2 linked regions of the Arabidopsis thaliana genome follow. The protein of the gene in region 2 interacts with the protein of the main gene of each other region in a pairwise test. Each region holds a gene or a part of one and is shown on either strand. Other genes may lie near its edges.

Region 1 (5,036 bases), about 24 Mb from region 2:
ATAAAGTCAAGGATATGATTACAAGTCACGGAGAGCACTAATGTAATGGGCTCAAGAACTCATAAACAACTGTTTTTAAGCCCATCACTCTGTAGTGTTCTTCATGCTTCCCAACATGGTAGACAAATAGAAGCAAGTGAATTGCAATGAGAGACGAGCAGAGATAGTAGTTTTGCAACACAAAGATCACATTTATAAGACAAGCATGTTTTCTTCAATAACAATTGCATCTGATGGAATCATCTTATGTACAAACACAACAAATACAAGATCCAATAAACACTTATGACTATTTGTCTCTGACTTTCTAGATACTAAACACATGTTCCTCTCCTGATCTCTGATCAACATGTGTGATCCATCTTCTCTTATTGTTACCACTCTTCCCTGAGTTCCTAGCCGCAACATGAGCTATCTCAATACCTCCGGTGACCGGAAGAGTCACCGTTCTAACAACTTTCCGGTCTCTTAAAACCCTTCTCAAGCTCGAATACCCGTTTCTACAAACCACAACAGCTCCTCTGTTTCCAAACGCAGCGTTTTTCAACGCAGCCGCTGCAAATTCTTTGTTCCGCCAATCCACGACCAAGAAGTCGACTCCTTGTAGCTTCTTCATCGCTTTTCCGGGTTCTTCAGCGACGATAGTCTCTGGAAAGTTCAAGGGAGATGAAGATTCTTGAATAGCTTGGAGATAAGCAGATTCTGATCTTGAGTTTTGTACTATACATATGTGTTTAGCGTTTGCGTGTTTGCTTGCTACGTTTAAACCAATACTTGAAGCTATTGCGTCTCCTTCTGACCAAGTTTCCACGATCAGCTTCACGTTCCATCCCGCCGCCATCGCCGCTATTAGCTCCGCCGCGTCCGGCGTTTCAAGATTCTCACACTGAACAAAAAAGAAAAGAAAAAAATCGTTACAAGAACAAACCATGAATCTTTAACAAAATTAAGATCTGAGTTTTCGAGAACTGGAGAGAAGAAGCGTGTGTTATTATTCCTTCACAACTCACCGGAAAATAAAAAAAAAACTTACCGATTTAACGGTGTCTATATAAGCCTTTGATGCTGTTTCCGGAGACCAAACCAATTTCATTTTCTTCTTCTTCTGCTTCTTCTTCTTGGTCTTCTCAAAGTTTCTCACGTTTCTTGTGTTCTGCTTCTTGTTTGGGTTTTAGCTTAAAGTTTGCTTTTATAGAGAACGTAGACATTAAGAAAAGTCTCGTTTCGTTTTGTATCGATATGGCCCTTGTATATTTGTCTAGTTTTTAGGTTTAGCCCCAATACTATCAACTTTAATCAAGTACCCCCCGATTTAGCTCCTTTGTTTAGAAATTGTTGCTTTAAAATCAGAAAATGGACATAGAGAATGCACTTGTTATGAATTAACGGAGGTAATTAGAGTACTATTATCCTAAATTTTTGTGGTGTAAAGGTTAGATTTTGAAAATGTGTAATATGTGAGAGTGATAGGTAAATTTTCTAAAAGATTTACTATGTTTTGTTCTTTCTTTCTGTTTTTTAAAGATAAGGTTTCTAGATAGTCGACTTTGACACTATTCCAGACGAATTTGACGTGTGTAGGCTAACGAGATTTAAACTATAATTAGTCTAAAACGATTTATCAACTGTTTATTCGTTAATAGTAGTTAAGTTTAGAAAATTTTCATTTAGTTGGTACAATAAAAAACACTATTCAGACCCAATTTCAATGACTTTAGTATCATGTGATAACTAAAACCAAGTGGATATAATAGATAATGTCTCATTGATCGTTGATAAGGAGTGTCTGGATACTTTTTTTTCCATCTAGGGATAATGGAGATAGTCATAGATAATGGCATAAATTTCAAACAAGTGAATCATATTTCAAAGCAAACCCAAAAGAAAGATATAAAGTATAGAAGAACTCAAACATGTGAAAAATCATCCAAGTGGAAGGTTACCTTTTAAATCACATGATGATATCATTTGCTATATACATTGATAGTGACCAATGCATTTAAACAATTGTCTTTGTACCCCATAGATCCAATTATGTGGGACAAATCAAACCTTTTTATAATTCCTATGTCACTTTGAAAACGACTCTATCGGTTGTGGCTTAAAGAAATATTAGGTCATGTTTATTCTTTTTATCCCACTTTCTCAAACTTAATGATTTGTTGTATAGTGGAATCATTTTAAGCAATTTCATTTGCCAATACAAATATTAAAATGCAAACCCACTCAAATTATCCTACTAATATTTGATTCTTTTTTTTAATTTGTAACTAGCAAACATATCAAAACTTTATAGGCGAAAGACATTCATTTCAAAAATAAGATCCTAAACTTTAAATTTCCACTAATATGATTGGTTAGACTTTGTTCATCTTTTAAGATTTCAAGAGATAAATGGGCCAGAAATAGTTGGGCCTTGAATATTAGATAAAACGACGCCATATCAACACCTCTCTCGTTAAAAGTTACAAACGCGACTCTCTGATCCTAAATTTCGTTGTACAGAGAAGAAGCAAAAGAGAGAAACATCTGACCCGGAATCTGACCTGAAAACCCGGAAGAATCGAAAAATGGGGAAAGATGGTCTGAGCGACGATCAGGTCTCGTCGATGAAGGAAGCCTTCATGCTCTTCGACACCGATGGCGACGGCAAAATCGCACCGTCAGAGCTCGGGATCCTCATGCGATCTCTCGGCGGAAACCCGACCCAAGCCCAGCTGAAATCCATAATCGCATCCGAGAATCTCTCTTCACCGTTTGATTTCAACAGATTCCTCGATCTCATGGCGAAACATCTGAAGACGGAACCTTTCGATCGCCAGCTCCGTGACGCATTCAAAGTGCTCGATAAGGAAGGTACCGGGTTCGTTGCTGTGGCGGATCTGAGGCATATTCTGACCAGTATCGGAGAGAAGCTGGAGCCTAATGAGTTCGATGAGTGGATCAAGGAGGTGGATGTTGGATCCGATGGAAAGATCCGGTATGAAGATTTCATAGCAAGGATGGTTGCTAAGTGAGATCTAATCTTTTATGTTTTGAAAGTTGAAATTTTTAAGAAGAGATTCTTTGTGTTTTTTTCACTTGTTTGTTTGATTTCGAGCGAATCCTAGCTAGGGTTTGTTTTATCATTGTGGAATTTGCTTACTAACTTTGTCTTCTTCATGTTTGTTTTCATTTTTAATGGAAATGTTGTCTGTGTGATTCCTCTTATCTTATCTAATCTCTAAGAATGTCAAGGTTTGTCTTTTATGCCTTTGTAATTCGTTGGATTGGGGTCAAGGAATCTCATTGATTCCCAATGTGGTAACTTTTCGCTCTTTCGATCTTGAAATGTTTGATTTCGATATCTAGCATTGAATTCTTTTAATAAGCCTTTTTGTTTGTTTAAGACTTGGTTTAATGTTCTTCATGTTATAGTAGTCTTCTTGAATGAGATACTATCTTCTTGTTTCATAACCTTATCCTGGCACGATCTGTGACAAGGACTGTGTTTTGTTGGTATGTGAAGTGGAAAGTAAAAAGATTGCGAAATGATTTAAAGATCTTTTGTTGCTCTCAAGCTTGTGCTGTTCAATATCGTGTTGTTATGTTGCTGTTGGATGTTGTTTGTCTTTCAGGGCGGCATGTTGTACCTAGATAACATGGTTTAAGGTAATAAAGCTTATGATGGCTCATCAGAACAAAGTTTTGAAAAAGCTTATGGCACTGACATTGTAGTTCATGTTCTCGAAACGGTAGTTTTTGACTCGGTTTTGGTTCTTGTTATGGTATAGTTTTCTTGTGTAGATGGTTATGCGAAAATGAAATTTCAATCTGATGCAAGTTTCAAAGTTTGATTAGATACATGCATTCTCTATATGTTCCTGTTACTTCTTACTAATACATGATTTGTGTGAAGATCAAAGCTCTCAAAATAATATTTCCGTTAATGAATACCACATGTAAATGATAAGAAGTATTGTAGTGGTGAAAAGAAAAGAGCATATAAATATACGCATTAGAATGATACCCAAAATGTTCGGTTCACTACACTATGAATCTGTTAACATACAATGTCCGGTTTAGACCGATTAAACAAAAACACGAGTGAATAAAAACAAGCTCTCTCTAATCCCGAGTTACTGGACTCTCCCTATTTGCAAGTAAATTGAGACGTGGCAGTATTTGGATCGCTAGATCAAAACGTAGGAGGGTGCCAAAGGCCATTGATGCATTCCACCGAGCAACTTAAAAGATAAAAATCTTTCCGTATTTTATAGTAAGATACAAAAAAAACCAATTCCGGCATAATTTGAATTGAACCGGTTTATTTGGTACGTTTCGGGTGTTGTTTCTTTTGTCTCTAAGCTCCGTCCGTCGTGTGCCATGGCTGTTTTGTAGGGTTTGCAATTTACACACAGAGTGAGAGTGAGAGTTTGAAAAGGAACGATTCAGCTTGAGATGGTGAAGTTGATGATACGGAGATTGAGTTCTCAAGTTTCGAAATTTGTTCAGCCTCGTCTCCTGGAGACAGGTACTCTGAGAATTGCTTTGATTAATTGCCCAAATGAGCTATCTTTTTGCTGCGAACGCGGCTTCTCTGCTTTCAGCGATAGAAATCTGTCTTATAGAGAGAGATTGAGAAGTGGGCTTGTCGATATTAAGGCAGATGATGCTATTGATCTGTTCCGAGACATGATTCACTCTCGTCCTCTTCCCACTGTTATAGATTTCAGTAGATTGTTTAGTGCCATTGCCAAAACGAAACAGTATGATCTTGTGTTAGCTCTCTGCAAGCAAATGGAATTAAAGGGAATCGCGCATAACCTCTACACTCTGAGTATTATGATTAATTGCTTTTGTCGATGTCGTAAACTCTGTTTGGCTTTTTCTGCTATGGGGAAGATCATTAAACTTGGGTATGAGCCTAACACTATCACATTTTCAACTTTAATCAACGGATTATGTCTCGAGGGTAGAGTTTCCGAAGCTCTGGAATTAGTTGATCGAATGGTTGAAATGGGACATAAACCCGATCTCATAACTATTAACACTCT
Region 2 (5,036 bases):
TGCTTCATAACCAGGTTGGATAAAGAAGACACACCTTCACTGTATACCGAGCCGAAAAGTGGATTAGCAGGATTGCTTTGTTTTCAAACTTTTCAGCATGATTTACTATCTGCAGTTTAAGGATATATGAAATCTTCTATGACCATCAAGAGACAGAAAGTAACAAGAGGTGTCAAAGAAAGGAGGATCCTGACCTCAGATATATGGATATGTCCATAATCTCTCGCATGCTCTACCGATACCGAATCATCAAGAAATGTGCTCTGCACAAGAGGAAATAGAGACAGCTTCCCTTTTAATACAAAGCCATGAAACTTGGACCGGGAAGAACTATATCATTATAAATCACGCACATTGTCCAAATTCATATCAGTAGCAGATATTCACCTCCATGACGAGAACCTTTGCCTTGAGAGCATCAGCATTAGTTTCATCAACTACAAAATCCGACGTTGTATCTCCCGTAAAAGCAACTTCAGGAGTTATTATGCTGTCTGTAATCTACAATCCACAATCCAAACTTATTAAACAGGCTTATATACTTTGGAAAGACCATTGCAAAACTATTGACTTTGTGATAGACAAACATAAGAAAAAATTGACAAGCAATATTAAGCAAATCAAAGACAAACCTCAACACCTGAAACCTTCAAGTTCTTAATTTCATTTCCAGATAGGCCAATATATTCCTTCTTGAGTTTATATTTAGTTGAATACACTACATAACCCTGCAAAATATCAAACGAAAGCATGAATTCAACGAAGACACATAACGCTAAGATATCGAAAATCTCATGCGAGTTTACTAAAATAAACCTGGCTTTGGATGACATGGAATGTCTTAAAGGCTTTGACTTTGAGATCTTTCCTTATAATAAACTCCTCCCCTGCATGAAGAAGTGTCCAAGGTTTAACAAAAAAGCCAAATCTTGGCTGCAATGAATGCTAGAGGTTGAGTTACCACCTATGTCCAAGCCAACAAGATTGTGCTTTAGCTCTGAAGAATCTAACTTTCTGTGAACTTCGAATAAACTCTCAACAGTTTCTTTAATGGATGCGGGTACTATAATCGTTGGAGGCTTCATTTTGTACAAGCCTCTAGTAGCAACATACATTGGTAATCCACCCTAACATAACAATACGAATAGTTTAGCTCACAATTTGAGAATGTAACACCCAAACAGTAACAGAGCAATAGGCTAATATAACATAACAATTTAGCTGACAATTAGAGAATGTAACACCAACACAGCAACAGAGCAATATGCTAATGATAATAAACACATGGTGGCTCTCAACAAGGGTTTATCAAAACAGTAACAGAGCAATAAGCTAATGATAATAAACACATGGTGGCAGTCTCAACAAAGGCTTATCAAAATTGTTCTTAAAACAAAAAGTCAAAAGAAGGATCTTTGCAAAATATAATCCGAAATTTCAAGTCTTTTTATAGAAGATTCAAGATACTTACGATATGATCCATGTGAGAGTGAGAGATGAAGAGGAAGTCTTGAGAAATTGCGCGATGTGGGCAACGACCAATGTCGAAAGCTATCCGAAGAGATGGAAATATGATGCACGTCTCGTGCCCACCAATCGACAATCCCTCGATCGGGTAACCTTCAATTTGCATTGCTTTCTTCTTCTCCATCTCACTGTTCCTTAGGGTTTATCGAATTTTGGCTGTGCTCTTCGTTTTCAAATATTGATCACCAAGTGTTCGATGAAATGTCTCACAATCACAAGCTTTTTTCTTCCATGATCATTTTTTTTTTTTTTAATAATTTTATGGATTGGGCTTAGGCCCATAACGGTTAACGAGACTACTTCACTGGAGCGGGAACCACTAGGCACTGGTTAATAAATTTCCCACGTGCCTCTGGTGCAAAAGTTGGTCTTTCGTATTCAACGACAGTGCAAGGGTATGATTGTAAATTTACTTCGAATGCTTCATTAGAACGTCGCGGTATTCTTACACTTGTTTTCGAAGTAATCTCGACGACTATAACAAAATCTGAGCAATTTCAATTAAATATCTGTTACTGTTGTATTTTAAAATCTAGACTACTGATGACATAACCAAATTTTTAGACTAAATTACCCTTTTTCTTCTATTTTAATTATCGCATTTAATGATTTTCAGCTTTTTTTCTTTATAGATTGCTCTCTTAACTCTTCTTTAATTTTCCCTCTTTCGAGTTCTGAATTTTTCTGTAAAAATTAATTTTAGTTAAACTAAAAATGTTTGACAAAAATACTAAATTTCAGAGAAGATCCAACGGCTAGAAATCAACTGCGTAAGATTGGAGTTATGGAGATGCTCGCTTACTTTTTGGTTAAAATTAGAAATATTATTTTGCGCAAAATATTTATTTTCTCTTTCCGTCTGGTCACTGAAAGTCTCTGAAACCACCACCAAAGAGAAAAACAGTTCTTTAGAGAGCATCAAAGCTCCGAGGAAGAGAGAGAGAGACGCTATGGAAGCATTGAACTAACACAACTCTAAATTTCTAATTTACGGTATATTATCTCCTTCTTTGTTATTGTTTTTGTTTGGTCTGAATCGGACTTGGATTTAGAACGGAGATCCGACGGTTACTCCAACTTTAAACCGACTTTATTTTAAGACATTGTTCGAGTAGTGTTGGGTTTTAGAAGGATCTCTCTGTTTGGGATTTGTTGTTTGACTCTGTCGGTGTTTTTTGTTTGTTTGTTGTTGTTTTTCATTTTGGAAAGTGGATTTTGAGTCATTTAGGGTTCTTCTTTTTCAGTCTGAGTTCCAGATCTGGTAATTTCACTTCATAAATTTATATGGTAATCATTGTTTTTTTTTTTTGTTCTTTCTTGATTCTTACATTTAGTTATCATTAGGTTTATCTTTATAAGCTTATTATTAGAGTTGATTAGAACAAGATAATGTGTTACTCTCCTTTTTTGCCATAACTAATTAATGAATTAAAAGACTTCTTCATTTTGACTATTGTGGTAGACTAGTAGTTGCCATATTCACATACTAATATTGGCTTGTGTTGTTTCTTGGGCAATGCAGGTTTGTTTTAGTTCTATACATTATGGGGAAGTCTACAAAATGGTTGAAGAATGTATTGCTTGGGAAAAAAACTTCTAAATCTAGTGGTTCCAAAGACAAAGAGGTAACGCTTTTGTAAGAGAATTCTATATTATGTATGTGATGATTAAATACTGTATGTGGAGAATTTGGATCATAATTGAGAAAACAGTGATGGTTTTAGGCTACCAATTTGCTTATGATTGTCTTTTTTTTTTTTTTTTTTTGTTCTAATTATAGTTATAATAATGCGCAGAGAGTTGTGAGTGGAAAAGAGGTACTGGTTACTTCAAAGGTGGAAGAATCAGATGTGGTATCAGATCTTCCATCTTTTGAAGTTGCAGAGACCAATACCGTTGATAGAAGTGGTGGTATGTTAGAGACTCAAAATGTAGGACCTGAAGAGATCTCAGATGATGAAATTGAGCTTCCTGAAGGAAAATCAACAGATTCTCAGAATGTTGCACCTGTTCAAGATCATTCATTATCTGATGCAGAGAGAATCCAACGAGAGATTGCAGCAACGTCTGTGCAGGCTGCGTTTAGAGGTTACTTGGTAATAATTCCAGCTGTTTCGATTTTATTAGGCTTGTCTCTCTCTCTCTCTTGATTGCTGCTTCTGGTGTGTTGTCTTTTTGTATATCCTAACATGAGCTCTTTGTGTGAAGGCTCGGCGTGCTTTTTGGGCACTCAAAGGCATAATAAGGCTACAAGCGCTTATCCGTGGTCACCTTGTTAGGAGACAAGCTGTTGCAACTCTTTTCTCTGTCATGGGAATTGTCAGGTTGCAAGCATTTGCTCGAGGAAGAGAGATCAGGAAGTCCGACATTGGAGTTCAAGTTTATAGGAAATGCAGATTGCAGCTACTTCAGGTAATGATACTTTCATTTCTTTGTAAGTTCAAACTTACACTTAAATACAAACTTAGTCGAGGAAGATATTCTAGTTTGGGTTGGTGGGGAAATAATTGTTAGAACTGGCTTTTTTTATCAGGGGAACAAGCTTGCAAATCCTACAGATGCTTACCTTGGAATCAAGAAACTAACAGCCAATGCTTTTGCTCAGAAGGTACGCTTGTTGGTAGAGTTATTTATTATAATGATGTTCACTGTATCCAATATCTCTTTTATACTATGGAGTCTCTAATTTTATTTAAAGATCTTGATGGATAATTTTGTTTACAGCTTCTCGCTTCATCACCAAAAGTGCTACCTGTACACGCATATGATACATCCAATCCAAACTCAAACTTGATCTGGTTAGAGAACTGGTCAGCCTCATGCTTCTGGAAACCAGTTCCTCAACCGAAGAAAACGATAAGCAGAAAACCTCAGAACAGGCTTTTAGTCGAGGCTGAGTCTGCTAAACCCAAGAAGAGTGTCCGTAAAGTTCCTGCTTCAAACTTTGAAAGTTCCTCAGTACAGACATCTTTTGAGTTTGAGAAACCCAAACGCAGTTTCCGGAAAGTTTCAAGCCAGTCGATAGAGCCACCCGCTGTCGAAGATCCTCAGATTGAACTTGAAAAGGTTAAACGTAGCTTGAGGAAGGTACATAATCCTGTAGTTGAGAGCTCTATCCAACCTCAACGATCCCCTCGTAAGGAAGTCGAGAAGCCAAAGCTTGGCGTTGAGAAGACAAGGGAATCATCATATCCGCTGGTTCATGAAACTGCAGAAGAACCTGTGAATGTTTGTGATGAAAAGAAAAAGCAAGAAATTTCCGAACAGCCTGAGGAGGAGGTACATGCTCTTGAGATGGAAGTACATACTCCTGGACCATTAGAAACTAATGAAGCACTTGATTCCTCACTGGTCAACCAAATTGACAGCAATGAAAAAGCCATGGTTGAGGAAAAACCCTCAATGGAAAAGGATACCAAAGAAGAAAAGACTCCCAAACCAAACAATAAAGAGAATTCCGCTGGGAAGGAGAACCAGAAATCCAGGAAAAAGGGTTCAGCTACTAGCAA

The links. The genes of interacting proteins can lie anywhere in the genome.
Region 1: the proteins of IQD31 (region 2) and AT1G12310 interact in a two-hybrid assay, tested with the Arabidopsis thaliana proteins (one large-scale study listed by BioGRID).

Annotation. Positions count from the first base shown.
Region 1 is NC_003070.9:4,185,481-4,190,516, reverse strand, and holds AT1G12310 (Calcium-binding EF-hand family protein), read left to right. Parts: upstream 1-2,283; 5' UTR 2,284-2,570; coding exon 2,571-3,017; 3' UTR 3,018-3,864; downstream 3,865-5,036. Other genes in the region: AT1G12320 (ankyrin repeat/KH domain protein (DUF1442)), read right to left, coding at 308-886, 1,034-1,093; AT1G12300 (Tetratricopeptide repeat (TPR)-like superfamily protein), read left to right, coding at 4,441-5,036.
Region 2 is NC_003070.9:28,061,960-28,066,995, reverse strand, and holds the start of IQD31 (IQ-domain 31), read left to right. Parts: upstream 1-2,224; 5' UTR 2,225-2,520; intron 2,521-3,049; 5' UTR 3,050-3,071; coding exon 3,072-3,152; intron 3,153-3,323; coding exon 3,324-3,623; intron 3,624-3,735; coding exon 3,736-3,939; intron 3,940-4,060; coding exon 4,061-4,135; intron 4,136-4,251; coding exon 4,252-5,036. Other genes in the region: TRZ1 (tRNAse Z1), read right to left, coding at 35-109, 195-263, 388-501, 633-728, 817-887, 965-1,127, 1,472-1,651. UniProt on the Arabidopsis thaliana protein: May be involved in cooperative interactions with calmodulins or calmodulin-like proteins. Recruits calmodulin proteins to microtubules, thus being a potential scaffold in cellular signaling and trafficking.